Linked DNA regions of Lytechinus pictus. The protein of the gene in region 1 interacts with the protein of each later gene in a biochemical or structural test. Links are inferred from orthologs where the notes say so. Each region holds a gene or a part of one and is shown in the gene's direction. Other genes may lie near its edges. The genes, in order: E3 ubiquitin-protein ligase RNF139-like and COP9 signalosome complex subunit 5.

Region 1 (15,696 bases):
GATTTTGATTAACTTTTAATAAATTTACTCGTAGAAACAAATATATGCATAAATAAACAACAATAACTATAGATTTGGATTAAGTGGTGGAATAGGTTATCCTAAGCTGTAATATACCTCATGAACCAAGTCCGTCAATGCATATTAAACACAACTAACTGAGACCATTCAGACTAGAACTTAAAATAAGAAAGAAAAAAAGCTACATCTCTGCTATTTTATGTAATTTTCCACAACTCATTTGATAGTAAGATCATGGAGTTGTACATCTATGTAATAAAATGGATACTGGAAAAACATCGGATGGTATTCTGAGCTTGTTTCATCGATATGCTGGAGAGACGAAATGGGGATAGGTTGCTATTTTGTCTTTGTCATGTATGTGTGCATGGGTGCTGAGGCCCCGGGGAGGGGGGGGGGGGGGCACTCAGTATATAATGCATAGTGGGTATGTGCTGTGGAGGGGACCCCCATTTTTACGCTCAAATTTCCGTTCCAAGGCCTAGCATTTTTGTCTTATTAAAAAAAAAAGAACAAAGAAAGCCGCTCCAAAGCACTGGCGTAAATCCGTGTTGATGGGTGGGGGGGATGACTAAAATATTTTGGCATTTTTTTGCAATCATGTTTTTAGATATGCAAGGAATTGTCATTGATATGTCCACAGTGGCGTACCGTGGGTCACGGCATTGGGGGGGAGGCACCGGAAAATTTTTTGAATCACTGAGTGAGTGCGCTAGTGAGCGCGCGAAGCGCGCTCAGTTGCCAGTTATACTGACCTAATAGAGACATTTTAAGGACAATGTCATTAAACGGATATGTATCTCACTGATCAAAAAATGCGAGCGCGAAGCGCGAGCTGAAATTTTGTATATTCACACCTAAAAAAGGGACATTATAATCAAATTTGTGTAATCATGATAGGTACCTGTCTCGCTAAACAATGCGAGCGCGAAGCGCGAGCTGAAAATTTAGATAATTCAGACATGAAGTGGGGCATTCTAAGGTTTCTTTGTGGGAATTAACTAGGACCATACGTATTTCATTAACCAAGTGATGCGAGCGCGAAGCGCGAGCTGAAAATTTTTGATATTCAGATCAGAAGAAGGGACATTTTAAGGACCGATTTGGGGAATTCATGAAGAGCAGACATATCTCACCAATCACGGACAGGAAATGTTTCATATATACGAAGACCTTAACATGGGGCAATCACTTTTTGAGACATGAAAAAGAAGCATATATGTCACTACATAAAACAATGATAACTCAAGTGCTAGGAAATATATTTGGTTTGTATTGACTTGAAAACGGGATGTTTTAGTACAACAGGATTATATATCTCGTTAAACAGACAGTGCGAGCACCAATGAAGACGTAGGCCCTGGGCAAATCATAAAGTTATGATAAAAATGCTTCTTATGTAATGTAACATAACATAATTATGATATAATATATTATAATGAATAATATTTTCTTCTTTCACTATGTTTTTCTTCCTTTCTCCCTCTTTTCCAGTCCCCCTTTCCCCGTTTTTTTTTTTTTTGGTCAGCCGATGGGGGGATGTGCCCCCCATGCCCCCCGTAGTTACGCCACTGTATGTCCATATGGCAAAAACCCCTCCAATATTATTATCTTTTTTTACCCCATGATGGTTTAATGGTTTTATTAGAGATTACATTCATATTTTTTTGACATTCCATCTTAATCCCTTCCCAAAGACCCTGGTTTGTCTTCAATGTTATAATAAGGACATAAGTATTTTGTTTGGAAATGGTGAACTGGCTCTTTATTTGCATTTTATGATTTAATAATATTGTTTTATTTGTTAAGCGGTATTTTAGGAAGAATTTTCACCAATAAAACAATTATCTCTTGTGATTTTTTTTCATTTCTTTCGTAGAAAGTGGGGGGGGGGATGTTTGTACAGGCCATCCCCCCTCCTCGAAAAGTGGGGGGGATACCCCCCCCCCACCCCCCCCCCCCCCGGGATTTACGCCAGTGCTCCAAAGCATAGCATTTTCTTCTTATCGAGAAAAAAGAAGAAAGAAATCCGCTCCAAAGCTTCGCATATTTTTCGTTACGCCGTTCCGGTCGCATTGATCAGCTACAATGAGCTGCAATTTTGGTGAAAAGCGGCCGCAGAGCGCTGTCCGACCATCGCCTCTGCGCGAGCGCACCCGGCGACCGGGCTGCCGGGCTAGCTGCATCATGCACGCATGCCCGTTCCATAGGGATGCATACGCACTCACACGCTGGCGATCCGTTCCAAGGACCCCCATTTTCACAAACATTTGTAGTTCCATAGCCCGTTCCGAGGACCCTCCTTTTTACAATAAGCCCGCTCCAAGGCCCCCGTTTTTTGTCTCGCGCCCGCGGCACACCCCTACCACTTTTTTGGTCGAGTGCCCCCCCCCCCCCGGGGCTGAGGCAGCCTATCATCACTGGGATATACAAATTAATAATTCTTCTACTATTACTTTCCTAAGAAGTTGCAATTCAGGCCCTGTTGCATAAAGGTTACTTTGCTATGAACTGGTAAGTTCGATTGAATCCTTGTCTGCTGGGTATTTTTACCATGGTAACTATCATATAGCCATCATAGCATGGAACGTATATTTTCAATGCGACGAGACTCTGGTTGGAGAAACAAGCATACTTTAAATTGGATTTCATGATTAGTGTACAACATTGTATTCAAGATCGCACCCCTCATTGGGTACTTCGCGTCTATGAAATGAAAAATAAGGTGCAAATTATATTATCAAAATACACTGAAATGGAAATTCGTATTTCCAGTATAGTGTCAAAAAGAGCATGAGTTTCACACATTTCGCGCACGTTAGCCACTACCATGAGCGCCCGGGCATGAGCACTCTCATTGGTTAAAAGGATGGTCCGGGCTGAAAATATTTATATTTATAAATAAATAGTGTAAAATTCACAGAGCAAAATGCGGAAAATTTCATTAAAAATCGGATAACAAATAACGAAGTTATTGAATCTTAAAATTTATCAACATTTTGAAAACAGTTATATGCACATGGTTATGAATATTCATTAGGTGGGCTGATGATGTCACATTCCTCTTTCCTTTTTCTAATTTCATGAAATCATATTAATGTTTCTTTTTTTCAAACATGTGTAAATACATGATGTGTCTCCATTATGATGAAATAAAGATGCGGCAATGAATAACTAATGCACTATAGCTTAATCAGTTATCAATTCAGTTGTTTTAGTTCTTGGTAGATAAATTTTGAATAAACCCAATTTCATATAATATAATATAATACAAAAGAACAAGTGGGGATTATGACATCATCATCATCACCTAATGAATATTCATAAAGACATGCCTAGAACTGTTTCACCGGAATAATGCAAATCTTTAAAATTCAATAACTTTGTTATTTGTTATCCAATTTTGATCAAATTTCCAGCATTTTGCTCTGTGAATTTTACTCCATTTATTGAGATATAAATATTTCCAGCCTGGACCATCCCTTTAAGTATTTGGGCGAAATTAAGTTCGAACAAAATATCTGATTGGATACTATTTTAGTGGTGGTGTTGATGGGCGAAGTTGTAACGCTATTCATAACACTTCTCAGATTATATAGGAGTGTTCTCATGGTGTTATAACTCACGACCTGAAAAGTGCACATACGAAAGTTACAACATTATCATATGTATTATTTGCAGATGACACCAACATTTTTTGTTCACATAATAGCTTAGAAACTTTTTAGTAGATATAATTAACCGTGAATTGCCAAAACTATCTTTGTGGTTTAAGTGTAATAAGCTTTCACTCAATATATACAGTGCGTATAAAAAAAAAAGTTTACACTTAGAAAAAATCCTGTAAAATTATTGTAATATCCTGAAGATTTTTCCACATTTTAACATTGGTACAGATCCATTTAAGCAAATGACGATATAACTGTCGAAAAATATTTCCGCTTGAGTGAGCACCACTTACTTTTGAAAAGTTAGTGAAAAATGATTTGCGCAGAACTTTGAAATAGCTATGCGAATAAAAGTAGACCTTAATCATGAGGAACACGCTAGTAAAATTGATTTAAAGATATCTTTTACTTTTTTAAACTTGTTTCCTTGCCCAACACACTTTGAAGAGTGCATTGCGCCCATGCAACCCCACTCCCCAACACACCGATGCCCTCGTGACGATTTTTGCTTTACACTGAGCTGTGATTTACATGAAATGGCTTAGGCTTGATTTTCACTTTGTTAATCATTGACAAGCTTGGAAAAAAGTGTGGAGAAACAAGTATTAAATGAAAAATGAAATGTAAACCCACTTTAAATGATAAAAACTTAGGGAAAAATGTTGAAGATGTCTCATATAAACTTTTGTTCAGATTCAGTTATGTCCTCAGATCCAGCTGGCACAAAAAGGGTAAAGGTTGTGCTTCCTAAGTGTTGAAATTTCAATTTGGGTGGCAAAATTGTTACAAAATGCTTGATTGTATCCGTTTTATTTCAATTGACTAAAAGTACAAGGGAGATGTATGAGAAATGTTTCGCAGGGTAAGTTTGATTTCGCCCTTTCCCCTTGACACTGCGTAAAAACGAGCATTTCTGCGCAAACAGATTTCTGCGAGCTTTACACAAATAGACAGTGCTCACTCAAGTGTAACATTCTGTCAAAACTTTTACTTTCATTGGATAGATGAGACCCAAACCCAAGATTATATGTGAAAAAATTACCCACATGTTGTTTATTTTTTAATTCCAAGGGCTTTTTCAAAGTGTAAACTTTTTTTTGATACGCACTGTAGATAAAACAAACTTTATATATTTCAAGTATACACACTCACATGGTAACGAATTTCCTTCCAATATAAACATAGATAATATTCCTCTCAAAAGGAAAAGAGAAACAAAGTTTTTAGGTGTCACAATAGATGAAAATTTAAATTGGAATGAACATGTATACGTTGTATAACTACTAGTATTTCTAGAAACGTAGGTATACTTTACAAAATGAAAAACATAATTCCACATACAACTCTTATCATACTATACAATTCATTAATATTACCTTATATATCGTATTGCAACATAGTTTGGGCAACATGTGCAAAAACTAAAATTAATACAATATACTTATTACAGAAAAAAGCAATTCGAATCTGTACTGATTCCTAATATTTATCACACACAAATCCATTATTCCATAAACTAAAGACTCTAACATGCAGTATTTGATATAAATTCACTTCAAAGTTTACTACTTATGTTTAAGTACGTAAATAACATGCTCCCACCTTCATTCCACAATTTTTATACTCTGAATACATCTATTCATTCATACCCTACCCGTAACTCTTCAAATTTCCATTTAATTAACCCCACATTGCTTATTGCGCAGAGATCCATAAGACACCATGGTCCAGATTTGTGGAACTCTCTACCAGAGTCTGTAAAACAATCTTCGTTTCTTCACTCATTTAAGGCAAACGTTAAATCTATGTTATTATCAGGATATTTGAAGTAAAATTTCTGTGTCGTTGTATCCTTTTTTATCGTGAATTCATTCCTCCTTCGATTTAGTCATTACCAATATCTCCATCATGACCACCATCATCTCCATGGCCTTCACCATCACCATCATCATATCACCGTCACCCTCACCTTTATCATCTTAATCTTCATACTAAAAATATTGCATGAATTGATGTTTCGTATTTAAAAATATATGCCCATTCTGCTTTATAAATGTATTAATTAATTTAATTAGTTTTAGTTTGGGATTGTCATTTTTCTTCAAGCAATCTGCTTATGATGACAATCCTTCTCCTGCAAATTGTGAATATCATATAATAATTTGGTAGTTAATCATTTTTGTCTGGAATTATTTTTTTTTAGTACACTTTATTTATGATTCATGCCAAAAATGCTAACATATTATGTTTATTATGTTATGGAAAATGTATTATACGAATGTTCCATGGATGCAGAAGAAAACAATAAATCAAATCACATCAAACATCATAGCACCACCGGTTGTCGGGACCAAGGATCACACCTATTCAGGTGTTGACTGTGCTAGTTCAACATCCACAGGTTTTATTTTAACTTCATTATGTTCGAAGGGTTTGGTCCTCCTATTTTCATTAGCTGGAGCACCATTGGGCCTATGGTATATTTATTCCAAAAAAATCATTTTATATAAAAGAGGCCAAATATTTAATAAATAGCAGTAAGCATAAATGCATCATTACCATTAATGTTATGACCATCATTGTTGTTATTGCTATTATTGTTATTATTTTGTTCATAAAATTTTATATTATTGTCATTATCATTCATTATTATTACCGTATTATCATAATTATTGCTATTAAGCCTTATCCATCGCGTCTAACAAAAAGAAATCTGATGCTATAGCGTTGTGTGTTATCGTGCCTCACCTCTGTATTCAGTGCAGGTGTGAATGCAGTTGGAAAACACTCCGTCCATCGGAAAGGACGCAATTGTTGGTCCCGTGTATATGAGAGTCACAACCTATGAACGTTAAAACCAATACACTATTCGTCAAAGAGTAGGGTGTTTATCCGGTGTATTGCACCTGCCGGTCCCGGCAAAATTCAGGTCAAGTCAATCTTGACGTTCATATGCCATAATAATCAATAGGCCCCTATAATCATGATAATGATGATTGTGGGCATTAACGGGAAAGACAATGTATCACTAACAAATTTTTTCTCCTTTTTATCATTTTATCTTCTTCATCTATAATGTAAAATAAATACAAGGTGTAATGAATTGTGTGCATAGTTTACCAATATTTTCTTATCATTGTACTTTCTAGGACTGATACAAGGCCGGTTTACACAAAGCTTCTTGTATTGATATTTATTTATGTACATGATTACGATGACCATTACTGGATGAAAATTTACAAAATATTATCATTGAAACCTATTCCTATTGGGTGTTACAAGAAACTTGCGATCAATAAATTGCAATCATATTTTGGGTCCCGAATGCAATCATAAATCTTGTAATTAATTGCAAATTAGTACTTGATTGCTGATTTGCTTCTAGCAACAACGAGTATAAATTTATTTCATACAGCTAGCTAGTGTTCTATCAATAATTGTAACATCACAATTTGCAATTGATTGCAAATACCTTCTTGCTACACCCCCTTAGAAGATTTTAATTCAGATTGTGAATTATTCATTTGCAAAACTTAGTATTTTTTTTCATGTGTTTATCTGAATATATATTTTTATCGTAATACTTCATTTTAACGAAACTCATACTGTAAATGAGCACCCCCCTCAACACACACAATTAAAAAGGAAGAAGAGGTGTAAAAGAATGGAATGATGAAGAGGAGGGAAAGGAAACCGAGGAAAGTAAGTAAAGGAAAATGAAGAGAGTAAGAGAGAGAGAGAGACCGCGGTAAAATGGTCTCATATTCCATCCTCATTAAAAGACCGCAGGAGGTGGTATAAAAAAAGGAGGAGCAATTGCAAGTTGCAATGGGTAGAAATCCTACTTTAGCCAGGTGCATTACCATGTCATTGGAGTCATTGCATAAATTATCTTTGGTTGCATTGAGTTAGTAATTGCCTAGTGACATCCCGGGAGTTACATGAAGAAGAAAGGGACACATGGAGAAGAAAAAAAAATCACGATTACTGCATGCCATCTGTCTTGGGGAAAACCTGAGGGGAATCCCCTCAATTTCCGTGCGCGAGCTAGTGACGTACTTGCACGTACGTGTACGTACGTGTGCGCGCCTGCGCCCACATATATGTAAATTAGGTCGACAAGCCGGTCGCCGGTGAAAAGCCAAGATAAAAGGGACAAGATTCCACCCAAATTTAAAGCTTTATCATCATGCCTGGGCTAGATAAGTTTACTTAAAGTTTTTGGATGGATCTCTCTTGAAATTGAAAGTTTATCTGTGCGACATTTCACTTCATTTTGTTGGAAAACAGTGTTCTAATATGTCCCAGAATGCTATGGATGTGGAACTGGAAGAAAGATATGGACCCCTGATTCGGGTACCACTGTTGCTGGTCATGGACGCCCTGAGCTCCGGGCGGTTAACTCTCTTCAGATACATTGTTGACGATGATGGGTACTCGGACTCTGTACTTTCTACTGTTGTCCATTTAGCCGGTAAGTCTAACTACCTAGATATAAGTCTAGGTCTAGATCTTGAGTCTAAAGTGATAAACCCTCCCTTCTCAGCTCCGAACCCCCTCCCTTCTTCAGAAGTACTTTTGCCTTTTGGGGCCTGTAGGCTGTACTGAATTGAAATTGAATTTGAAAGGGTCTTTCGTAGAACCGTTCTTCTAGAACGCGAACGAGATATCGCTCAACTGTTTCACAAAGCCGATTTGGGCGATACGAAGAATAGTCCTTGGAAAGACACCTCCAGACGTGTCCTACGTAGGCATGATCTTCTTTGCACACCGCCCGCCACCATTGGCATTGAGAGAAAATGCGTTTACGGCAAGCCACACTGACAATTATCACTTTTAAACATTTTTGGGGGTCATTTGATTGCACTCTGTCTCTGATGCATTTTATCTGGGATGGCGCCAAGTTATTTTTATATGGAGGCTGTCATCAATTTCATGGCAAAACAGATGTCACTTTCACCGTTCCGGGGTATCTAGGCCCATATAATTTTTTTGTAAATATGTATATTATGTTTTCTTTTTAAAAAAATATTAGATTTTAGATAAAAAAAGGTTGAATCACACATCGGATCCAGATTTTTCGCGTATGATATACAGTAAGTAGAAAGCTGCGAGAATGTGTGCGATATCATTTAATATGCTTTACCATTTACGGTATGTGGTTTACTTCGGAAGCTTGTATTGCTGGTTGCGTTCTAGGCGCTCAGCATTCATTTACTCTTATCCTGTCTTATTGTTTTTTTTGCTGTCAAAAGATGGCGTACGTCACCTATAAGATTTTACATGAGATGCAACCCGTTGATTTTTTTGTACAATTTCCTATTGTGCGCCGACGACTTGAATCGAGACTGTTAGATCGGAAAAAAATTCACATTTCGATTGTTGTTTGCATGAGTTCCACCGCAGTACGAAAGGATTTTCAGTGGTTCTTGGCTGAGATTTGGAGGTACAGTAAAGGTTAAAAAAAAATCATTTTTAAAACAATTGTAATATATTTTCATCATTAAGTTATCAAATATCTTTAAAAGTAACACAGTTAGTAATTATAGAAAGTTTTTTGGTGTTTTATTCCCCCACATTCGTGGGATGGAGGAAAATGTCAAAATCCATTCTCTAGCTTACTAGGCCTAACCTCGCAATACGTGTGAGTTGGTTACATCTGCCTTCTTCATTCAGGGTTGAAGATTCTTGCAGACCGTTTATTTGGCATGTGTGTATGGCCAGGTTTAGGTGTGTGGTGCAAATATACATGTATACAGGTGTGAGTAAAAAGTCCAATCTGGTTTCTTTAGCTCTGGCCTTCTGCCAGTCTCGGGCGGAAGGCTTTTGGAGAAGAGGCATTGATTTTGTTGGGAGGGAGAGCATTCCATACCTTGATCGTCCTCGGAAAGAAGGATTGACGATTCAAGTCATTTCATTTCATTTTACATTTTATTTCATTTATTCCACCTTCATGTGTAAAAATAATAAAAATGTAAATCAAGCATTGGCATATGGTGTGGGCCCCGTAAAAAGTTAAGAGCTTATCACCAGGGGCCCAAGCTTAACACGATGGTGCTCAGTCCTGCAGTGTGGTAGCTAGTAGCCATTCCCTTGTTGCTGTGGTCAAGTTCTTGTTGTTCCAGTTAGTGGGGTGATGTATTCTTCCACTGGGAAGCTGACAAGATTGTGGTGCAGCTGGTACAGTACCAGTCACCATTCTTTGAATCACTATTACCTGTTTCAACCAGAGAACAATAGATTTGGTCCACTGATTCTATTGTTCTCTGGCCAAAACAGGTAATAGTGAGTCAAAGAATTGTGACTGGTACTGTACATAAGCACCAGTCTAGAATCTTCCCTTCGTTTCTTTGTTTCCCTTCTTGAACGAAGTTCTTCACTCCGTGAATTTGACAACATTGAACACTTCAAATCGTCTCTCAAATTCTCACATATTTCAGTAGATGTGTAATTGGATGAGCTTTCGCCTATGAATGTTTTTAAGAGAAATTTGATGCGATATAAATGCTGGGCCTGTGGATCATAAACCATGGCATTCATGGAAAATGAAAAAAATACTGTCTTGCCATGCCATTGTAAATTTCTGCTTTCACCTCTTCTGTCACATCATATCTGCCATGTCAATCTGTTTGAGCTAAGGATTTATTTAGCAATGTCAGACATTATTCATCATCTATCGACTATCCCAAGCCCAGTCAGTATATTACAGCAGTACAGAAAGTGAATGCAGCCAAGGCCAATTTAGTGAGCAGAATTAGTATACATGTAACATTCAAGTTTCATGACTCCCACACGAGACTGAAACTAATCAAGGCCCAATATTTATTTTTTTTAACCGGGTTTGCATGCTTATTTATTTTAAGGAACAGGTTAAAGAAATGTGAATATTTATTGACCAGATATGTTCCAATGTTGGCTCAAGTATTCACTGTACTATAGCTTCTTGCCTTGGTTAATAATACATGTAAGCAGTGACTTTACACACCAACTCCTCCTTGACTTTGTACCTGATGAAGTTGGTTATGACTATGCCAATGGAAGTACATTGGAATTTAGTAATGACAATGCTGCATATGATATGGAATGATATATGATTATCATCAACTGTCACAATAAGTTAAGTGATATGATCTTCAAAAGTGAATTGTCAAACAATATTTAACTATTGCATAGATGGTAGACCTAAGTTATTGCTTCTATCATATTAGCATAGTGCAGATTTTATGGAATTCGGAAATTGTTTTTAGTTCATTATTTTTTTAATCCAAACTGGAATGGTCTACATTTTATTTCCTACTGCAATCTAATGTACGGTACTAACATTAAAGGAAAATATTTCTTTGTTTAAAGTATATACATGTAGAATAAAGGGTTCCTTTGGTAAATACTGGTATTCTAATTCTATCTTTATTTTCATTTATATCTTCATAGCTTTGCTGATTTGTGGGATGATGTTCTTTCTAACAGCATCAACCCTGAAGATTTGTTATGCATTGATGGTTTTTATGGCAGCACTGAAGACATCTCAGTGGTGGAATGGTATCTTCCTCCAGAAACTTGGGATGGAGAACATCACCATGCTACACTCCAACCAGACTGTCATCTCATCCTTTGGAGATGAGTGGAAGGTGAACACGTTAGACATCATGTCCAGTGATGAATTCCTCTTCTATCTCTGCATCCAGCTCATGTACAGCTTTGTCGTCACCAAGACACCAATGCTTCATTCTTTAAGGAACACAGAATCTAATGCTCCTGTACTCTCAGTGTGGTTCTGCCTTGTCTCTCCTGTGTTCCTCTACCTGTTCTTGAATACCTTTCCAGTACTTACACCAGATTCTGCAACCCTTCTTGTCCAAACCTTCTACGGACTCTACCCGATCTTACCTATCCTGCTACTTGACATAGTGTGGAGTTTTTTTTACTTTGTGCATTACTATTTCAAAAATATTCGTGTCATTGCAAGGACATTTACAAGGATTTATATGCAATTTGGAATTCAGGTGTTAGTGGAAAACCAGTGGATTAGGTTACAAGTGCCAACAGTACTAAGACTATTTTGGCTAACAAGATTTGCGCTTCATGTAGGCAGATTAGTTCTCCAGTATCACTATGGTCCCATGAGTGCTAGCCCATCTGAGGATGTACCCAACAATAGAACAATATTATCTGCAGCCTTGTCAGAAATTGCTAGTGAAAGCTGCAGTACTAGGATTGCAGTGTTAGGGCTCAGTGCAACATTGTCACCTATAGCAACTGGAATTGGACATTTGACTCGGTTATTTCTAGGTGGGGACCGTGATGGAGGAGAGAACATTGGTACTCTTGCATCAGTTTTGTTCTTCATCCTCGCTCTACAAACTGGTTTGCCTGACCTATCACCCGAGAACAGACTCATAAGGCTCGGAAGGAACATGGGCTTGTTGAGTACTGCTATCCTTCACTTCATACACACTATGCTCAATGGGACAATGATGCAGCTATCAACATCACACATCGTCCATCGTGGGAAGCATGCCAGAGCTCTAACTATGGTGGCATTGCTTACTGTACTTCCAATCTGGTTTATTGTCTACCTATGGACATCCAACCCCATTGGAACATGGATGCTCGCACTAACCGCTTTCTGCTTGGAGCTTATTGTGAAGGTCATTGTGACGCTCATTGTCTACATCCTTTTCTCCATCGACACTCAGGGCGACACCTTCTGGGAACAACTGGATGATTATGTCTACTATGTCAAAGCAACGGGTAGCACTATCGAGTTCATCTCCGGCATTTTTCTCTTTGTGAATGGAGCTTGGATATTTGTATTTGAATCTCGTGGAATCATAAGAGCCTTCATGATCTGCATCCATGCCTATTTCAATATCTTCCAGCTGGGAAAAGATGGATGGAAGAAATTTAAGAGCAGACGTCTGGCCGTGCAGAAGATAAAATCCATGGAGCAGGCTAGTGCAGATATGCTTGCTAGCCACAATGATGTTTGTGCGATATGCTATCAAGAACTCACTAGCGCATGTATTACTCCTTGTCACCACTTCTTCCATGCCACATGTCTTAGAAAATGGCTTTATGTTCAAGACTACTGCCCTCTATGTCATAAAGAAATCACAGAAGATTCAGATGATAAAAATCCAGCTGAAGAAGATGGAAATGTAGCTCGAGGTGATTAGTGTTACCTCTGGCATTTTATCTACATATTCAAAGGAATTTTTTTTAATGTCATTTTTGGGGTGGGTGTGATATTTTTTTTCCATTCATCAGATTTTGATTGAAATATTCTTTGTAAACATGTCCCTAGATAAAAGTGATCAAACCATTACTAAATAATGTTCATCCGTAGCTGATAGGAATCAAATTGATGGAGAATTAGTGTGATTTAGCCACAAAGAAAAGGACCACCCGTCTTGTGTAAATTGCAAGAAACTTTATGAAACTCCCAGCTTTTCACAAATGAAGTTGTCATATGTTAGTAACAAATTAGCTTGCATATAGCAGGGGTGTGAGAGTTCAGATTTTTATCTGATTTCAGATTTTTTTCGTTTTGATTTTCAGCTTATTTTTCGCTTTCCTCTGAACAAAAAGTATGGGAGCTCTTTCTATTTCAGACTTTTTCTACAAGTTTCAGCTTTTTTCAGATCTTTTTATTTGTGACCACTCACACCCCTGATATAGCCAAAACATTGCTGGCCATGCTAGCTAGCATAGAAGCATTTTGTACAGCTTTTTCCTTCGGGTCATTGCCAAGATTAAATGTCACAGAAACCATGCAATAGTGGCAGTGCAATGCTAGTAAACTAGTACATGTAGCTAATGAGTGGTTTAGAGTACGGTACGCCAATGAATTGGTAGATGTCTTTCTTTAGATTGACCGAACTACATATAAGTTTACATGGATACTTTGTTAATGTCATGAAATTTCCTAAATTCATGGAAAATCTTTAAAGTACCCTCCAATAGTCATGTATCATGATGATAGGTATTTTAAGCTGGTGATATGGACCCTAATCAAGTGATCTGTAAAATTTGAACATGTGACCAGTCATTCATTAATTTTGCTGTCAGAAAATTTTCCTAATGTATGGTATGGTACTACAAGCTCTATTGACCTGTCATGAGATGAAATCCACATCCTTCTTTATAAAACACATATTACACATTGTTTTGCTTCAAGGGCATTAGAATACATGTAATTACTGATGCACACGCTTGTTATTATCCTAACTTGTTAACAGTCCAAACAGAAGTGTGCCAAAGGTAATTCATACTAATTAAGTGGGGGCAACATGGTCTAGTGGTTATGACCTGTCTTTTAATCTGAGGGATGTGGGTTCGATTCGCAGCCATGGTGTGTTTTTGATAAGCGAGATATTTACCCACATTGTGCTGCACTCAACCCAGATTAGGTGACTGGATAATTATTAGAAAGAAATTCCTGTAATGCTTGAGCACCTTTATAGGCAGTGCAGCTAAAGCCAGGGTTATAATAGCAGCGCTTTGTATCCTTAGGCAAAAAGCTCCTTATAAATCCAGCTATTATTAGTAGTATTATTATGTGTATTATTTGTATACTATTCATTCACACCCACTCTGTAGATTATGTGCTTATTTGATATTTGTATTTGATATACGTACCACATAATTTGCATACAGATGATCAGTAGATTTGAAGTCAATTTCAATATTCATTGTGCAATTTGTAATAAATACAATACATGTTTATTGTACATAACTACTGTACAATTATACTTTCTATGATTTTTCAAAATAATTTGATTGAATTTTGGGGGCTGGCTAGGTTTATTGATGCAGCTATATTATATACTCAGACCGATATTTGATTTCCTTTGAATTTTATGGGGACTGGTTTGAATATGATAGTAAGAATTATAATCATGTACATGATGTGAAGTGGGCATGGTGGGGGGGGGGGGATCATGCTGCCCCTTGCTAAAGCCCAGGTAATTATTCTCATTTGTATATCATGTGAAAACTAAATGTATGGAGCATTATTGTTTAATGGTTCTGACTCTCGCCTTTGAAACAGAAGGTTGTGGGTTCAAATCCCAGCAATGGTGTAATTTCCTTCAAGAAATTGATCAACATTGTGCTGCACTTAACTCAATTGAAGCGAATGGGTACCTAGCATGATAAGAGCCCTGGGAAATAAATAAAAAATATTTTAGGTATCACATGTACGTTGTGAAAAGTAACCCCTGAAATAAAATATTTTTTGCCTGTCAAGATACAGTTTGGAAAATAATTATTAAACCACTTTCCTACTAAAGCTCCCACATGGTATGGTCCAATATTTTCTAAGCTGTAATTCCACTCCAGACTTTTAGACATTTTTCCTCTGAAGGAAAGAGATACAAATTTTGTGAATGGAACCTTGCTATGAATTGTGTATTCATGTTGTTTGAAGATTCCTCCCACTACACATTTATTCTTGTTTTCAAATAGATACATGTTATTCCTTTAAGAATTTATTTGAAGAATATTTTACTTCATAAAATACACAATAAAGATTTTATCAGCTTCATTCTATATTAATTTATGGTTTGAGCATTTTGATCGTTACAAATTATAAATTTTGCTTGAAAATAACATAATGCTTTTAACTTTTTGTTCAATTGCTAGTGAAAGAGTTGGTGCCTTGGATATTCAAATCCTTATTGAAAGATAAAATGTTATCAATCAAATGGCAATAGAAAGTTAAGCTACATGTACTCCAAGTATGCCCAGTTTCATAGCTTATCAGCCATGTATTTGATTTGGAAACATTGATGTTTTTAAACAACAAAAACAGGTATTATTGTGCTACTCACCGATCAGGATTCTTGGATGTCATGTGGACCGAAATGTTTTTACCCAAATTTTTACATAGAAATTCATGTTTATTTTCTAGTCCATTACAGATTACAAATTTGAATGTTTAAGAAAAATATCATTGGAAATATTTAGCACTCAAGTGAATTGAAATCTACAGCTCTAGACAATATAT
Region 2 (16,547 bases), on another chromosome or scaffold:
CTGTTCTGCAGACAAAAGGGATTGGTCATTCTTAAACTAAAAGTGAGATGTGCCACTGTTCAAGCCTTGAGATATATACACTTGTACATTTTTATACATGTACCTCACTGAGGATCTACGCATTCAAGAATATCTGAAATCTACACAGAAAATTATGCCATTTACTACACAGAAGGCTTTAACAAGAATAAACGATCTGTACTGTACTTGACTACATGTGAATAGAATTTTTCTTTGTTACAATTAAGGGAGACAAGATATTTCAATTTGCAATGGTACTTCTGAATCATTAGGAGTGATGTGAAGTGTTTTTGCATGCTGTTGGGGGTTATTTTCTTACTATATTAATCAAATGTTTCCAAGATAAAGTAGAATTTCTTGTTCCACTCAATTAAACAAATTATATTTAGAGATAGTTTTAAAGTGGCAATGTCCAGATTTTCTTTGCTTGGCTCAGTCTGTCCCCTCTACAGTCTTACAACATATGGGAGAAATGATGGTCGTTGAAATGTTCATAATGATAAAAGGAATCCTTCACAAAATTCCGGCCAAACGTCCAGCTCAAATTTATTTTAGCCTACTTTTTAGAATATCCCCTGATGTTATGATGGTCATCTATTTTTCTGTATCTCTTTTCAGGTCCCTGCACAGAGACCCATTTCAGCCCAAGAAAGCAGGACGTCCCACGCCGGAGGGCGTAAGCAGTTCGGATCCAAGAACATTGGCTCTTCGGGCGCACCTCGGACAACGTTTGGCAGCTACAGCCAGGCCCATGGTACGATATCAGCTAGCAGTTTGGCTAAGCTACAGGGAAGGTAGTCTTCTTCACAGACCCTGCACACGGTTTCTCGACACTAGTGGTTTAACCAGCATGCCAAAAAAGCCCACAATTTTACTAAGCAGTGGGGATGGTAGCCTTCTGCTCCTCACCTGCGAACTGTTTTCCTGCACAAAAGATTATCTGAACTACAAGGGAAACCCACAATTTTACTAAGCCGCAGGGATGGTAGTCTTCTACTGCTAGCCTGCGAACTGTTTCTGTGCACAAGAGATTATTCAAAAGTACAAGGGAAGCCCACAATTGTACTATGCTGCAGGGGCGGTAATCTTGCACTTTATCCGCAACCTTTCGGACAACGCATGTGAATCATTCAGAGAGTCAAGACTACAGACTGGAATCCTCTCTTGTCTGAATCCTGTCCAGTGTTGTGATACATTAGCTAGCAGATTAGCGTTGGCACAGGGAAAATGTTCTTTACATACAGGATAGTGCCCTTTTCCTGTTTCTGGGCACTTGTGGTCTGGCCACTCAATGGACATAAGTCCTCAGTAGCCTACAAGCTATCCAGGGTCCTGTTTTACAAAGAGTTGTAATTGACTCAAATCAATCTCACATTGCCAAGCTACAGCTGGGGTAATAATATCCAAGTCCTTTGGAAGCGCATAGAGACATTATTCATAATTGTGATATGCGCTATACAAGAACTGTTTATTATTATTATTATTGCAATATAATAATAATAATACCAACATGCTGTATATATCACTGCCAAATGCATCCCTATGCACTTAATTGGATATTATTATTGCGGTGGCATTTCAAGGAATAAATTCCTGCCAGGTACCCTTGTACCTCACCTGGGTCGAGTGCAGCACAGTGTGGATAAATTTCTTGCCGAAGGAAATTACGCCATGGCTGGGATTTGAACACACGACCCTCTAGTTTCAAAGTCTGAAGACTAATCCACTGGGCCACAACGCTCCACACAATATATCTGAATATGTGTATGGAAGAGATTAAGATCAATCCCAATTTGAGATTGATTTGAAATCGCAGCTCTCAGTAAGACAGGGTCTTGGAGTTTGCTGTCAGCATGCAGTATGGTCAAGCTACATGGTTGTCGGGGATCACAACCATTTCTACAGCATACTATCGCAGGGTTTGACAAAGCAATAGGAAGTTATGTCAACATCTCGGCACCATTTCATGAAGCGTGTCACCACTGACCAAGTTAGCATTCATTGACACTGTCATTGCGTGTGGATTAATTACTTGTAGTATGTGCCATGCAGCAATCTTCACTGTTGTCAAAACCATTGGAAGGGTAGTGTTTCATGATAGTTGTCAGCATTCCACAAGTCGTCATCCTTTGGCAATCACCTTAATTGCAACATTCAATGCTTCCTGTCAGAATAAGCCTGCTACCACCAACGATTTCACTGGACAGGGGATCGGGGCGATTTTGGCCTCCAAATTCTCAAAAGAGTAACCTGCTTGCTCAGTGACCTCAAATTTTGTAACAAAGTTGGCGGAGTACAGCAAGCTTGCATATATGCCAGACAAGACAAGAGCCATGGAAATTTAAAAAAGAACCCCCCCCCCCCCCCCAAATCCCCATTCGCTACAATGTTAAAGCTCATCCAATGTTGCAGATATAGGCAGTAGCTTATGAGAAGTAGTCCCAAAAATGAAATATTATTTTTTGCCTGGGTCATACACATACATGATGTAGCTCATAATAGTCAGTACTGACAACTTTCATGAAACAATACCCTAATGCTACCATCACACCAAGAAAACAGACTCCAGGGTCCCGTAACACAAAAGCTAGCGATTAATCGTACACTAAATTTTCACGACTGATTGTACATTGTAGTCAATAGATTTAATCGTAGATAAAATGTTCTACGATCATTGCTAAGCTTTGTGTTAAGGCAACTGCACACCTTACGATTGGTCTGCGACCCGATTTTGGAATAAAACATAGTAGAATTTGATACTATTATTGAAACATGGAATATCTTACTGTGTAATGTTCTAAATCATCGCACGAATACCTATCTGTGACAATGCTATCATCCTTCTTAGAATGAAAGCGAATTTAATATCTAGTCGTAATGACGTCATAGCAGTTGTACGATTGGCTAAGATTTGAAACTAATTTGGCCTTTACTCCAAAATAAAGGCTTGCAATCTTTCATAATGGTTATATTGGTATTCTTTCAATTACTTTTAACCTCAAATAAAATGATATTTTCCATTCACATTTTCAGAAAATGAGCAAAATGCTATCTGATCCAAAATCGGATCTCAAACAGTCGTAAGGTGTGCGGAGGCCTTCGTGGGCCCCAGACCACACCAATCAATTATGCTATTACCAATGGCATATCATTGATTGGTTTGTAGTTGGTTTCGTTGGTGTGACTTTAGCTTAACTCTACATCTTGATATGTGCAAGCTCATAACCTAAACCATGAAGTCCTTGGTTTATCTCCAATATTCACCAAGGCATAGAGTGACATCCGCAAACGTTTCAGTAGTGTTCAAATTTGTGACTACCTGCTGGGAATTTTTGGCCCAAAGTACTGATCAGGCATGCTTTTTATGCTTGTGCCTGCAGTGCAAGGACATATATACTTGAATCTAGATAATTGCAGTAAGACAACTAGATTACATTTATCTTCATTCTACAAAGAAAGTACATTTGTGTGAATAATTCTGTGTTTCTTCATTATTTCTCTTTAATCTTCATTTTTCTTAGTATACAATGTCAACAGGTTAATAATATTATGTATTAGATTTATATAAATCACTTTCTGTCGTAATGAGATGCACAACGCGCTTCAGAACAAATAAGATACTGAAGAACCATCCCCCAAAAAAAACAATAGCAAAAAAAAAAAAAAATTACTAGTTTGAAATTTAAGAAAGAGTGTCTAAATGGATGTCTGTCAAAAAGCAGTGTTACCGTATACAGATCAGTATGTGCATGTTGGTTCTCATTTGTCTGTATTATGGAGTAGTTATATAGACCTTGTCAAAATATCTCCCCATCGTTAAATTCATTTGAATGTTAACAAAGATTGATTCTGTGTGCAAAACACGTATCGTTTTTTTGTCTATATGATATGAATTTGAATAATTATTACTATTAAGGTTTTCGAACAGGGAAGTCTGCCTAAGTCAAAACTCTTTGGACCACCGAAATTTGTGTTTGATGTAGAAGAAATTTGATGTGAAAAGGTAAATACATCACATACTTTTCACAATCTAGCTTCCACATAGGCAATTATTTGGTACGTATCTGCCAAGCATAGAATGAGCAAGATGAAGTCTTTGATTATGCAGAAATTACCATCTTAAAATGACAAGTATGTTGCAAAGTTATAGGGAATAAAGATAAATTTAAACCAGGAAATCGCCACAAAGCTTCATTGTATGCAACTTGTGTTTCAGATTTGGACATAGTAGAATAACATGTGAAGTCAAAATATTTTGAACAGTATTTTAACAATAGATGCATCCTTTGATTTACCACATGTTCGAATACTGGGCAGTTATCCCTATTCCCCATTGCCTTGGCTATGCAGAATTTGGGGATTAGAAGTGGAAAATTTGCTGAATGTAACATTTTCTGATGTAAGCCGCATCATCTAATGTCTCTATGGGCTTCCAAAGGACTTTTGTTATACCTTTGACTTAGTGTTGGAAGCTGTTTATAGACTATAGAGTACACAAGCATTTTAAGGAATTCATTTTTGCCAGGTACATAATGAATAAATGATGCAATTATTGATGAATGTATTGCTGAGAGACATTAGTGCTGCAGCAGGGAGTTGAACCTGAAACCTTGTGATTCAGTTGTGGAGACTTATCCACTGGACCACAATACCTGTACACACAGTGGCTCGGGCTTTTATTTAAGGTACCTTGAGTTAAGTTTTGTTCGTCCTCTTTGAAATTGACATTCCAGTTGTATCAAGCCATAAACCAAAGTTATCATTCAGCATTCCCCAAATCTTGGACAGAATATTTATATTTTAGTTTGTAGGCAAAGGGTTAGTTCATTTTGAGATAACCAAGCAGGGGTAGACTACAGAAAACATTGAAATCTCTAGTCTAGTGTCTGATCTTCTGATCATACATGAGGCATTTCCTATTCACTCTGGGGGTCTGGGGAAGGGAGTTGCTCACTCTTTCACAGTGGCGCCAGAGCACTCTGGGGCCATTTCATAAGAATTTAAGCTAGGGTAACTATTCCTTTAGAACAACAATGGTTACAGGGCTCAGCAGCCAATCACAATCAAGATTACCATGGTATTTACAATAATCTAAAAGCTATCGTAGGTGTAGTTGTAAACTGTTTATGAAACAAGGGCCGGGTGGGTGTTTCATAAAGCAGATCGTAAGATACAAATGACTTTACGCACGACTGGTGATCCTTTCTTGTGCTATGTGATATCTATACATGTATGTAATTGAGTTATGACCTAAGAACTTGTTCCAGTCGTGCGTAAAGTCGTTCATAACTTTACGATCAGCCTTATGAAACACCCACCAGGTCAGGCAAAGGTTTGGAAGGGCAAGCCATTGTGTGTTGACAACGGTTCAACCTTCCAAACTTGTTGGTTTAGAGCATTCAGACGCCACTATTGTCTAACATTATTTTTGGTAACAAAATTCCAACTTTATATGGAATATTACACAGATGTTATATAGAGAATTATGTAATTGAGCATATTGTATTCCAGGGAAGTCTTTGCCAAGAAATGTGTAATTGTTGAAGTATTCATTGTATATTTATTTGCTTGTGATATATCATATTGAGAATTCTTCTACCAATGTCTTCTTCAATTGGAAATATTTATCGACATATCAATATTTATTTTGAATTATTACCGTTAGCCGTGGTGACTTTAGATACAAGGGGCACGCAAGGGTCTTGGCAAGGACCGGTCTTTCGTGTTACCCATGCGCTGTATGAGGCGCTTTCTAGTAATGTAATTAAATCAGCACCACGAAAGACGGTCCTTGCAAAGCTCTTTTGTGCGATCAGCCCTAGGAGGCTCTGAATCAACTTTAGATAAAGATATCCTGCAACCTATTTTTTTCAAAATAAATTTTTTCGTGTGATATCATGAGGCTGTACATGTATTTTATAAATGACAAGAAGGTGAATATCATTGGAGGGGGGGGGGGGTAGTATTACGGATATCGTTATCCAGAAGTTTGTCAATAGCCACTCAGGAGTCGGGGATGGAGTTTCACAAAGATGTTTGTAAGTCATGCACAACTTTGTGTATGTCATTTATAAAGTCATTCTTAAATTACAATCAGCTTTATGAAACAGCCTTCTGGTGTATGAAGTGCCACGGTTGAGGGTACTACTAAAAAAGTGAATGAATTTAGCTGTGATTATTCAAGATATATTTTGTGCTAAGTACTGAAAAGTGACTTTACTGAAACCTTGATTATTGTGAGAATTCCTAATGAATGGCTTACAATTAGAATGTGTGTGTGTGATTCCAAATGTTTATAATAGAAGTGTCTTAAAAAGTTGTATAGATCAGTCGGTTGTGAGTATAATTTAATGTTCAGTATGCGTACATGTATAAATGAACTTGATTAAAAGTACTTGATAAAGCAATTTCTTTTGTGACAATGAAATTAAAGAATATTAATTAAAGAGACAGTGATACTGTTTTCTTAAAAATGAGAAAAAATATTATGTGATGTGTTGTTTCTGGTGTGCAATTATGCATAAGCTGTCTTGTATTCGATAGCAAATTAGAAATTTTACTTAATTGATGGGCCTGTTTCGTAAAACTTTTTTATAATAGCAAATTTGCAATAACAGTTAAAAGTCACTGAAATCTTTCAATCTGATTGGTTGATAGTCTATTTGGTATAGATATTGTGTATTTGCTATTATAACAAGTCTTTACAGGACCCTGTTCCTCATTTAAGAGCATTATGTTAAAAGAGCAAATATTATGAGGAAAAAACTTTGGTTTGATCAACACAGCACCCCCCCCCCTTTCCCCAATAAATAGATGAATACAGACCGCAAGGCAGAAAAGTTGGCCTATATGGTCTTCAGATTGAGCTGCCAAGTAAAAAACAAGTAAGATTTTTGAGCCAACCCCCCCAAATTACCTAATTTCATAGTTGTTTTCTTTTTCCTTTTTTTTTGCTTGTCAAACTTCTTGGTACCAAATTGACCTTCATTTTGTACTGAAGTCTTTTTTTTTTTGCTTGTCAAATTTCTCGGTCAAACCCCCTCTGTAAAACGCTAGACCCACCCCTGTAATCACTTCTGTATCACCATTTGAAACCCGCCTCGATGTGATAGCATGGTGTGCTTGTGTAATCATAAAAGTTCAGTGGATTTTGAGTCGTTTTTGTCTGTATGTTTTTTTATGTAACAACATATGTATAGTAAGTAACTTATGGTAATGACACAGGTAGCATCCCTCAGTTGTATCTCCTTGTTATACATTATGTGTCTCCTCAGTTCCAAATTTTACTGACTTGGGTAGCGGAACTGTGATTAATATCATTAAAAAAAATGCAACTATAATGATTATGTATGAATAGTGTATATGTTATATTGAAGAATGTACTTGGACAATCCCTTCTTCATATTTAATACCTAACATTTTTTTTTCTTGGGGGGGGGGGGGGCGGGGGTCCACATAAAAAAGGCAGAGCTGGTCAAATTAGAACTGCTTTCTTTCTTTCTGCTTGTCAAAATTTCTTGGATGACAATGTCAACCATTTTTTCAAGTTAATCATTTTTTTCTTTTACTTGACAGATCTAGAAGGGCATTTAAAAAACTTACTGACCCCTTATTTATCTTCATCATCATGCTGACCCCTCAGATGGTTAAGGCATTTGTCAGAAATTTTGAAAGTTAAAATTAATTTCTTGTAATGTAATGAATATTGTGGGATGCATGGGGGGGGGGTCAATTTGTCAAATTTTCTCAAGTAGCAGAAAAAAAACGATGCCTGACAAAGAAATGGTGACTTGTTATTTCATTTTGCGGACAAGAAAAGAATTTGAAAGAAAAAATATATTACAGGCTTGCAACTACAATTGTCACTGAGCTTGATCACCAATATGCTTTCATTAGATACTGGTCATCGATCTGCATGTATTTGGCATTAAAAAACACACACAAAAAAGCCCCTCAAAAACGAAACCAAATCAAACAGATTCAGATTTTATAGTTCTCCCCCCTTCTTTCTCTTTCCTTGATGGTTTTAATGGCAACCATATATCATGACTATTTTGCCAATCAAAGCTGTAAAAAATGATATATAGTTTCTTTTTTTGTTCTCTCCTTCAGTTTGTTTCTTTTCTATTCCCTTATTTTTTTTTTCATTTCTCTTTATATCTTCTATGAATTTTTTTCTCTCTTCTTTTCATTTTTTTTTTTGTTTTATCTATTTCTGTTCTTTTTTGTTTCCTTTTCTTTCTAGCTTTCCTTTCCTTTTTTCCTTTCCTTTTATTCCTTTTATTCTTTTCCTTTCTTTCCTTTTCTTTTCTTTTTCTTTTTCTTTCCTTTTCTTCTCTTTGCTTCTCTTCTCTTTTCTCTTTTGCCTATTTTATTATTATTAATTTCAGAAAAATAGGGGCTAACTCATAGAGATATAATTAGTATACATCTCTATGGGCTAACTCCAGTGACGACCTTGACTTTTCTCTCTGCGAAATTCTGAAGAAAATAGGTGACATGGATCGTGAGATAGCCCAAAAGACATGGGAAATGTCTAATAACGTTGAACTTGTTCAAAATGTTGATGAGATTTACAAGTACGACAAGAAACAACAACACGAGATACTGCAAGCAAAACCATGGTCGAAAGAGTAAGTTGTCCTCCCACAGTCAGACTAGTCCCAACCGTTGCAATCTGTGTTGTAAATTTAAGAGGGGATAGGCTTGCCACTGGCTTGCCTTGGCCGGCCACTTCACAATTCTACAAAAACACTTTTTCTTCGCACGCCATGGCCATGGCACGGCTAACTTCTGACTTTGGCATTGACAGGGGGAATAGCCATGGAAAAAAAACCCTAGACCTAGTAGTAGATTAATAAACAAGAATGACTGAGGAATAGCATAGGCCCTACAGTTATTTTTCCTTTGTCTTTCTGTCTTTGCACTGTCTGTGTCTTTTTTATGATGATTCATGATTGATGATTTTGAAAATGAAGTTTTGTTTTACCTGAGCTGATCATGCGTCAACATTGTCTGCTTCTCATTTGTGATTTGGGTAAATGATAAGAAGATGTTCCTGGAAGCTCAGCTGTTGATATGTATGATGGGGTGACCATAATTTGCGCACATTTTAAAAATTATCATGAAGTTGATTTTCAGTCAAAAAATTCTCATAGTTCACACAAAATTAATCAAAATCATAAATACCAGATGGAAGGCAAAATCCCAAAGTCAAATTCGCTTGATGAAATTATAAAGTAGGTCAAGGGTTTCGCTCGTATCGCGATCTAAAAATTCCATGGCGATCGACTAGTGCGTGCTTGGCTGAAAACTTGCCATTAAAAAGTGTGACCTTAATTTGCGCACGATCATTTTGCAAAGCTTTAGAAAAGAAATCAAACAGACAAACGTAAGATAATTATATCAGATGGAGGTTAAAATGGCATAAATTCGGTTGGTATCACATTTTACTTATTTGGAGACCTCTGCTTGCGAACTGGCGATTTCTTGATGATTGTCGAGAAGATCAGATTTTCTCGGAGCGGACGTAAAAGGTAACAAAATTCCCCAATGATTTGCCAATATTTTCACAAATTGAGACCTTGCCTTCAACAAAATTACCATACTGGATAATTTTGGGTGGCTTTTCTGTTGGTTATATAAGTTTTTCAAGATATTAATTAGATAAAGAGATATTCGACTGTGCGCAAAATTAGGTAACGCGCGAATTAAGGTCACACCACCATACAACATTCTTCCAGTAATGAATTAAGTCATGTTGTAATCAAACAAAACTCAAAAAGTTTGCAGCCACCTGCTGGACTTCGGTTGATATTGTAAACCGAATCGCCATGTTTTTACTTGCACCCTCCACCTTTTTTTTTGTAAATAACCTCCAACATCCAACGTCACTGTCGGCCATTGACTGCACATGCACCCATCCCAGTTTAGCTTCAAGTATGAGCTGCAAAAGGGATTATTTCTTCAAGGTGCAAGGTTCTAACTGGCATTCCTAAAATCATCTGAGCATGAAATTATAGACATCTATTTGGAATTTATCAGACTAACACCTTTTGTTTATTTAGCAAAAGATCTAATGGTTGTTTAATAGGGTTGAGCTGTGCACAGCTGTTGCCTTGAGGAATGTTGGCGCTAATAATAGATTTCATTAACCGCAGAATTATGAAATTTTCACCCCTTTTTTCCAAGCTCTAATTAGCCAAATATTTGCGCAGATTTCACAGTCGCTATGATGAATCTCTGTCGGTGCATTGTCGACAGAATTCAAACCACATCACGCATTGGCTTCAATATTGATGTTATGGTTCTACTTCAAGTTTCATTTGCACTTCGTCTTCTCTGCCTTTTTATATATGGACTGAAGCTACATGTAGCTATCAAAATACATTCGTACCTGTCAGTTCCCGGCAAAACCTGTAATGGTACGATAAAACACCAGAAGGTGGTCTGTATTCTGAGAGGAAGAAGAAGGTTTCACTAAACATTTGCATCCTAGGATTTTAATTGCTAACTTCAGTCCATGTTAAAGCTGCATACAAAACAATGAAGCTGATGTTAGACTGAGACTAGAAGCACAAATCCATCACACAGATGTTCTTGATGCCCAATGTAATTTATCTAACATTTTGGGGATCAATTGATTAGAGAATGTATTTGGGGAGAAAATTCAGCTCTGAAATCAATTAATTGTTGTAATTTTTTGCTTTGGTCTTGCTTTTATAAAGGGATTTCCACTTAAGGAGGAAAAATATATACACCCCTGTATATGTATTCTTTTCTTCCTAAGAAAATGTATTATTTGGCTTTATTAAACTGTTACATGTAAATCTCCTTACAAGTCTTCCTATTCTCTCTGCACCTTCATTGACAGCAACCAGTATTTCAAGTATATCAAGATCTCAGCCCTAGCACTGTTGAAGATGGTAATGCATGCAAGATCAGGAGGAACACTAGAGGTCATGGGACTGCTCCTTGGAAAGGTATAATACCTATGTATATTTTTAATTCCGTTTGCACACTTTCTATTATCTTTCTTTTTCTGCTGTCATGTACATCGCAAAGTTTTCTCATCTTGTTTCATTGATGAATTGCTGATTTATCTACACCCTTTTTCATTTAGACCAACTGGTCATAGGCCAAGTTATGAATATAAACCCTTTCCTTTTCACTATTTACAGGTTGATGGTGAGACGATGATAGTAATGGATTGCTTCGCTCTTCCTGTTGAAGGCACAGAGACGAGAGTCAATGCTCAGGCTGCTGCATATGAATATATGGCTGCTTATATTGAGAATGCCAAACATGTAAGTTCCTTGTGAATACAGTTGTGCTCAATAGTGAACCCTACCCCAAAACACACTCCATCATGCAGAGTGTTGAATGTAGACAACAGGGCAGTTCCATGGTTACAGAGTGACATTCAGAAACAACTTTTTTGCATTCAAAAAAAGATATCACCAATATTTGAATAGCTATTTGCCAAGAAGTGGTACCTGACAGTAGTTGCTGAAACCCACTTTTCAAAATGATAACATTTGTTATTTTGATCCACTGAATTAATGAGATGAATATTCATAAACATGGTTATGGAGTGACGCAAAATAGACATATATTTGAGGAGAAAACATATTGCTTATACTCTGAACTTTGAATTGCTATCATAAGTTTGATTTATTGATTGGATTCTATGTTGTTCTGGCTGTAATATGCTGCATTACATTATAAAATTGGTGTATTATTTCATTAATTACAACTTAAAACGTAAACCCATACCCGGTTACGGAGTGACATCAGAAATATCCTCTCACGAGCAGCGTAAAATGAACTTATATTTTAAAATTTTCGTTTGATATGATGTAAAATGATGACCTTCAGATTATCTAAGAGAAAATTTTACAAAACAAGCAATTGTTTTCTGTTAAATTGAAATTAAGTAAAAACCAATATATGAAGTCCCATATAAAGAATTTCTTGTATGGTTTGGATTCTCCTATAAGGAGATGCGTAAGAAAAAAAATTGTAGCTAATTATTTTCCCCTTTTGTATTTATGAAATTTCAGTTTTGAAAGAAAAATTTGATCCAGATTTGAAATAGAGTCAATACAAATTTTTGGAAAATGTCCACTTTTGCTTGGAATTGCCCAACACTACAATGTTCGAAAACAGTTTTATTGGATGTAATGTTTTATCACCTGACTTCACTATTGGACATCTAAAGCATGGCAGAACTTGAACACGTTTATTTTCTAGTGGGGTTCACTAACTAATTTTGAGCACGACTGTATATATATCTGCGTACTGAAAATGCAAGACATGTAAGGTCCTTATTATGAATATGTAGTTGCTTATTGAAAATACCAAACATATAGGCCCAAATTCACAAAGGTGGTTTTGAAAACCCACGGTTGAGTCCATGGTTTATGCAGATTTTCTGTATAAATTACGCTTAATTTAGTGCGTATCGGGCGCGTGTATAAAACATGTCCAATGCTGATGCGCGCATTTGTCACAGTGCGCCAAATTGACGCCTGTTACCATGGTTAGATACGCTATTTTATTCATGAGTCCACTCTTCAAACAGTGGACTCATGAATAAAATAGCATATCTAACCATGGTAACGGGCGTCAATTTGGCGCACTGTGACAAATGCGCGCATCAGCATTGGACATGTTTTATACACGCGCCTGATATGCGCTAAATTAAGCGTAATTTATACAGGAAATCTGCATAAACCACGGACTCAACCATGGGTTTTCAAAAACCACCTTTGTGAATTCGGGCCATAAAGGTTCTTATCATGATTATACATTTTAGTTGCTTATAAATTGAAAATGACAATTTTTTATGGTTTAATTATGGTTATATTTAAATCTGCTTTATCTACCACCTGTTTATATAGACTACAAGTTTGGTTTCTCTTGAATAATGAGACATAAATTTGTTTATATTGAAAATGCCAAACATGTAAGTTATTATTTGGTTCAAATTATGAATAGAGTCAAACCTACTGTACTGACCAATGGACTAAAAAGATCAAAAGTTGTATTCCATTTAATAATTCAACCCATTCAAACATGTATTATGTCCATTAAGTTCAGCTATTGGGTGTCTCATGCAGCTGTTTGTTAAGTTACGCACAATGTTACGAACGACTGGAACATGTTCTTAGGTGCTAAATCATTTAAGTACTAGGGATATATCTTAAAGCACAAGAAAAGGTCACCAGTCGTTCTTAAAGTCATTCGTAACTAGCAATCAGCTTTATGAAACACCCACCTGCTTAGAAAGACCACTATTCCTGTCTTCCTTCTTTGAAGGTCTTTATCCACAGGTTTCACTGTATATTTACTACTTATATTGAAAACACAAAACATGTAAGTGCCCAGACCCAGGTCTGCACTGGCAAGGGCCTTCAGTATGCAAGTCATTGTAGGCTACCCATTCAGATCCTTCGATGGCGCAGTCACAGTTTGCTGACGATAGCCGTCCGGTGAGTTGAAAACAGCTGTTTTTATGATTTTTGTACCAGCTTTCTGTATGTGGTTCATAAAGGAATCCGTAAAACGGCTGTTTTCAACTCACCTTGTGGACATCGTAGGGGAAATGTGACTGCAGCATAAGTCAAGTAAAGGATATGTATTGTACCTTGTATCATACCTTGTTGTGGGCGTAAAGTTTTACCTATAAAACTTGTTTGCCCCTCTCCTTCCAATTTCTTGAAGTCAGTAAATATGCGCAGCAGACTACCCAGACCCTTTCAGTGATGTTGGTAATTCTTATTGTTATTTACAAACCCTACTATGTTTTTAATTGTCCTTATGATTACAGGTTGGACGTTTAGAAAATGCTATAGGTTGGTATCACAGTCATCCTGGATATGGGTGCTGGCTATCAGGTATTGATGTAGGAACACAGATGTTAAATCAACAGTTTCAAGAACCTTTTGTGGCCATTGTGGTAGGTGTATTTCTTCAATTATAATGCATTATTATTATTATTATGAATATAAAGCAAATTGCACATCATATTATCATTTAACCATTAACGTCACTATGTGCTTCTAAAGGACTTTGGATATTAGATGCTTTATTAGCCTGGAAGATTTTACAGTGGACAAGCATTTCAAGGAACTATAATTCCTGCCAGGTACCCATGTACCTCACCTGAGTCGAGTGTAGCAAATGTAGCTTTATGTCCTACGAAAGGACATTTGTGTTGCAGCAGGGATTTGAACCTGGTACCTTGTGATTCAATGTCCAGAGATTTATCCACTGGACCATGAAAGTTTAAATCCCTGAGCCCCGTAACACAGAGGTTTGCAATGGATTGCAAATAGTGATTGAAAGCACGATTCTGATTGGTTCCTGGTCTGTAGTTTGAACATAATGTGTATGAAATAGTGAGCTTGATTGGCCATTGCAAAACACAGCTCTGGTTTATGACTTCTGGGAATTTCAGTTAGCCTCATGCATTTGATTTAAATGGTATGATATTCTATCCAAGTACATATTATTTTATACGCCCGTGGGACGTATTATGGTATTGCGCTTGGTGTCCGTCCGTCCGTTATTTTTTCCTTGTAAACGCTCATATAATTTGATGTGTATGATACTAACGTGGATCCCAGAAATCCTATTGATTTTGAGGTCAGAAGGTCAAGGTCACAGTTACATGTTTTCATCTTACCCTTCTGAAGTCCTTGTAAACGCGATAACTTTAGTTTAACTTAACCTAGGCTAATATAATTTGGTGTGTATGATACTAGTATGGATCCCAGGAATTCTATTGATTCTGAGGTCAGAAGGTCAAAGGGGAAGTTGCCACCTTCCACTTTTCTTGCTTGATCAATAACTCTAATTTCTGTGTTACAGGCGGGCGTATTATGTGCTCGCTGTAGCGACACTCTTGTTGTCACATGCAGTTTGATACATAAAAATCTTAGATAACATTTAGTTACCAGCTTAAGTATGGCTTGTTTTTCATACAGGTTGATCCGGTCAGGACAATATCTGCAGGAAAGGTCAATATCGGTGCTTTCAGAACGTATCCAAAGGTAATGTTTCTAGGTTGAACTCTGCCACCCTGGCTCACCAGAATGCCACTGATGGGATTGGGTTCTTTTATCACTTCTGATGTTGTGATGATACAAGTATCAACCGAGCAGTAGTTCATCTGAGACTGAAACTTTTACTATTCCTTTTATTTCACTGAAATTGAACTTTTAAAGTTGGATTCAGCCTCGTTCATACAATTACAAAGCTCAGGAACATTCGGTGTATATTGTAATTCTATGGGGTATAAGGTGTAAAAAAAAAATACCTGGGCAACATTTGCGTACTTTAAAGGTCAAGTCCACCCCAGGAAAATTATGACTTGAATAAATAGAGAAAAATCAGATCTTTTTGTTTTGATTTTCAGAAAAAAAACTAGCATAGTGCTGAAAATTTCATCAAAATCGGATGTAAAATAAGAAAGTTATGACATTTTAAAGTTTTGCTTATTTTTCACAAAACAGTTATATGCACAACTTAGTGACATGTAAATGAGAGAGTCGATGATGTCCATCACTCACTATTTCTTTTGTTTTATATTGTTTGAATTATACAATATTTCAATTTTCACCAATTTGACATTAAGGACCAACTTAACTGAGCCGTAAGATGTTATAACAAAGGTAATACCACATGTTCAGGGAGGAATAAAACTTTGTCTCACTGGACAATGTGGAGAAAATTAGAATAATTCATATTTCATATAATAAAATACAAAAGAAATAGTGAGTGAGTGATGTCATCAGTTCCCTCATTTGCATACCGAACAGAATGTGCATGTAACTGTTTTGTGAAATTAAGCGAAACTTAAAAATGTCATAACTTTCTTATTTTACATCCGATTTTGATGAAATTTTAGGTGTTATGCTTGTTGGATTTTTCTCTTATTATTCAAATCAACTTTTTGCTGGGGTGGACTTTTCCTTTAAGGGGACAAAATGTGTTTTCCAAGCAGATCCTTGTTAAAATTTAGTGTGAAATAAATTTTGTCATAAGTTGTGCTGATGAAATAAGTAAAAGTTTGGACATAAACAGACAGACAATAAGAAGTTTATTAAAGAATGATAGTGAATTTCATTCAAATGTCCTTATCCTTTTCTGATTTCTATCAAACCTTCAAGTATATTTTTTTCAATGTCCGTCCCCCCCCCCTCTTTCGTTAAAATCATTTTTTTTTCTTCCAAAATTGTGTCCCTGTTTAACGAAAGTGTACTTTTCTCCTCCCCCACCCTTCCCCATCCCAGGGATACAAACCACCTGATGATGGACCGTCAGAATACCAGACCATTCCACTCAACAAGATAGAAGACTTTGGTGTCCATTGCAAGCAGTATTACAGTTTAGAGATCTCATACTTCAAATCAGCTCTGGATCGTAAGCTGCTAGAATCACTCTGGAATAAGTACTGGGTCAACACACTCAGCTCATCAAGTTTACTTACAGTAAGTCAACGGATTGATGCGATGCTTTGC

The links.
Region 2: the proteins of E3 ubiquitin-protein ligase RNF139-like (region 1) and COP9 signalosome complex subunit 5 form a complex in vitro, tested with the Drosophila melanogaster proteins (2 studies listed by BioGRID). The link is inferred for Lytechinus pictus from reciprocal best matches to the Drosophila melanogaster genes Trc8 and CSN5.

The regions. Positions count from the first base shown.
Region 1 is NC_087256.1:3,845,889-3,861,584, forward strand, and holds E3 ubiquitin-protein ligase RNF139-like, read left to right. Parts: upstream 1-7,786; 5' UTR 7,787-7,988; coding exon 7,989-8,163; intron 8,164-11,120; coding exon 11,121-12,865; 3' UTR 12,866-14,979; downstream 14,980-15,696. UniProt on the Drosophila melanogaster protein: Plays a role in growth inhibition that is dependent upon COP9 signalosome subunits CSN5 and CSN6. May modulate signalosome levels or compartmentalization. Probably functions in the same or a related pathway to VHL during early midline development.
Region 2 is NC_087261.1:2,502,915-2,519,461, forward strand, and holds the start of COP9 signalosome complex subunit 5, read left to right. Parts: upstream 1-7,454; 5' UTR 7,455-8,520; coding exon 8,521-8,654; intron 8,655-10,894; coding exon 10,895-11,003; intron 11,004-11,201; coding exon 11,202-11,327; intron 11,328-13,852; coding exon 13,853-13,981; intron 13,982-15,011; coding exon 15,012-15,077; intron 15,078-16,319; coding exon 16,320-16,517; intron 16,518-16,547. Other genes in the region: extracellular signal-regulated kinase 2-like, read left to right, coding at 640-819. UniProt on the Drosophila melanogaster protein: Probable protease subunit of the COP9 signalosome complex (CSN), a complex involved in various cellular and developmental processes.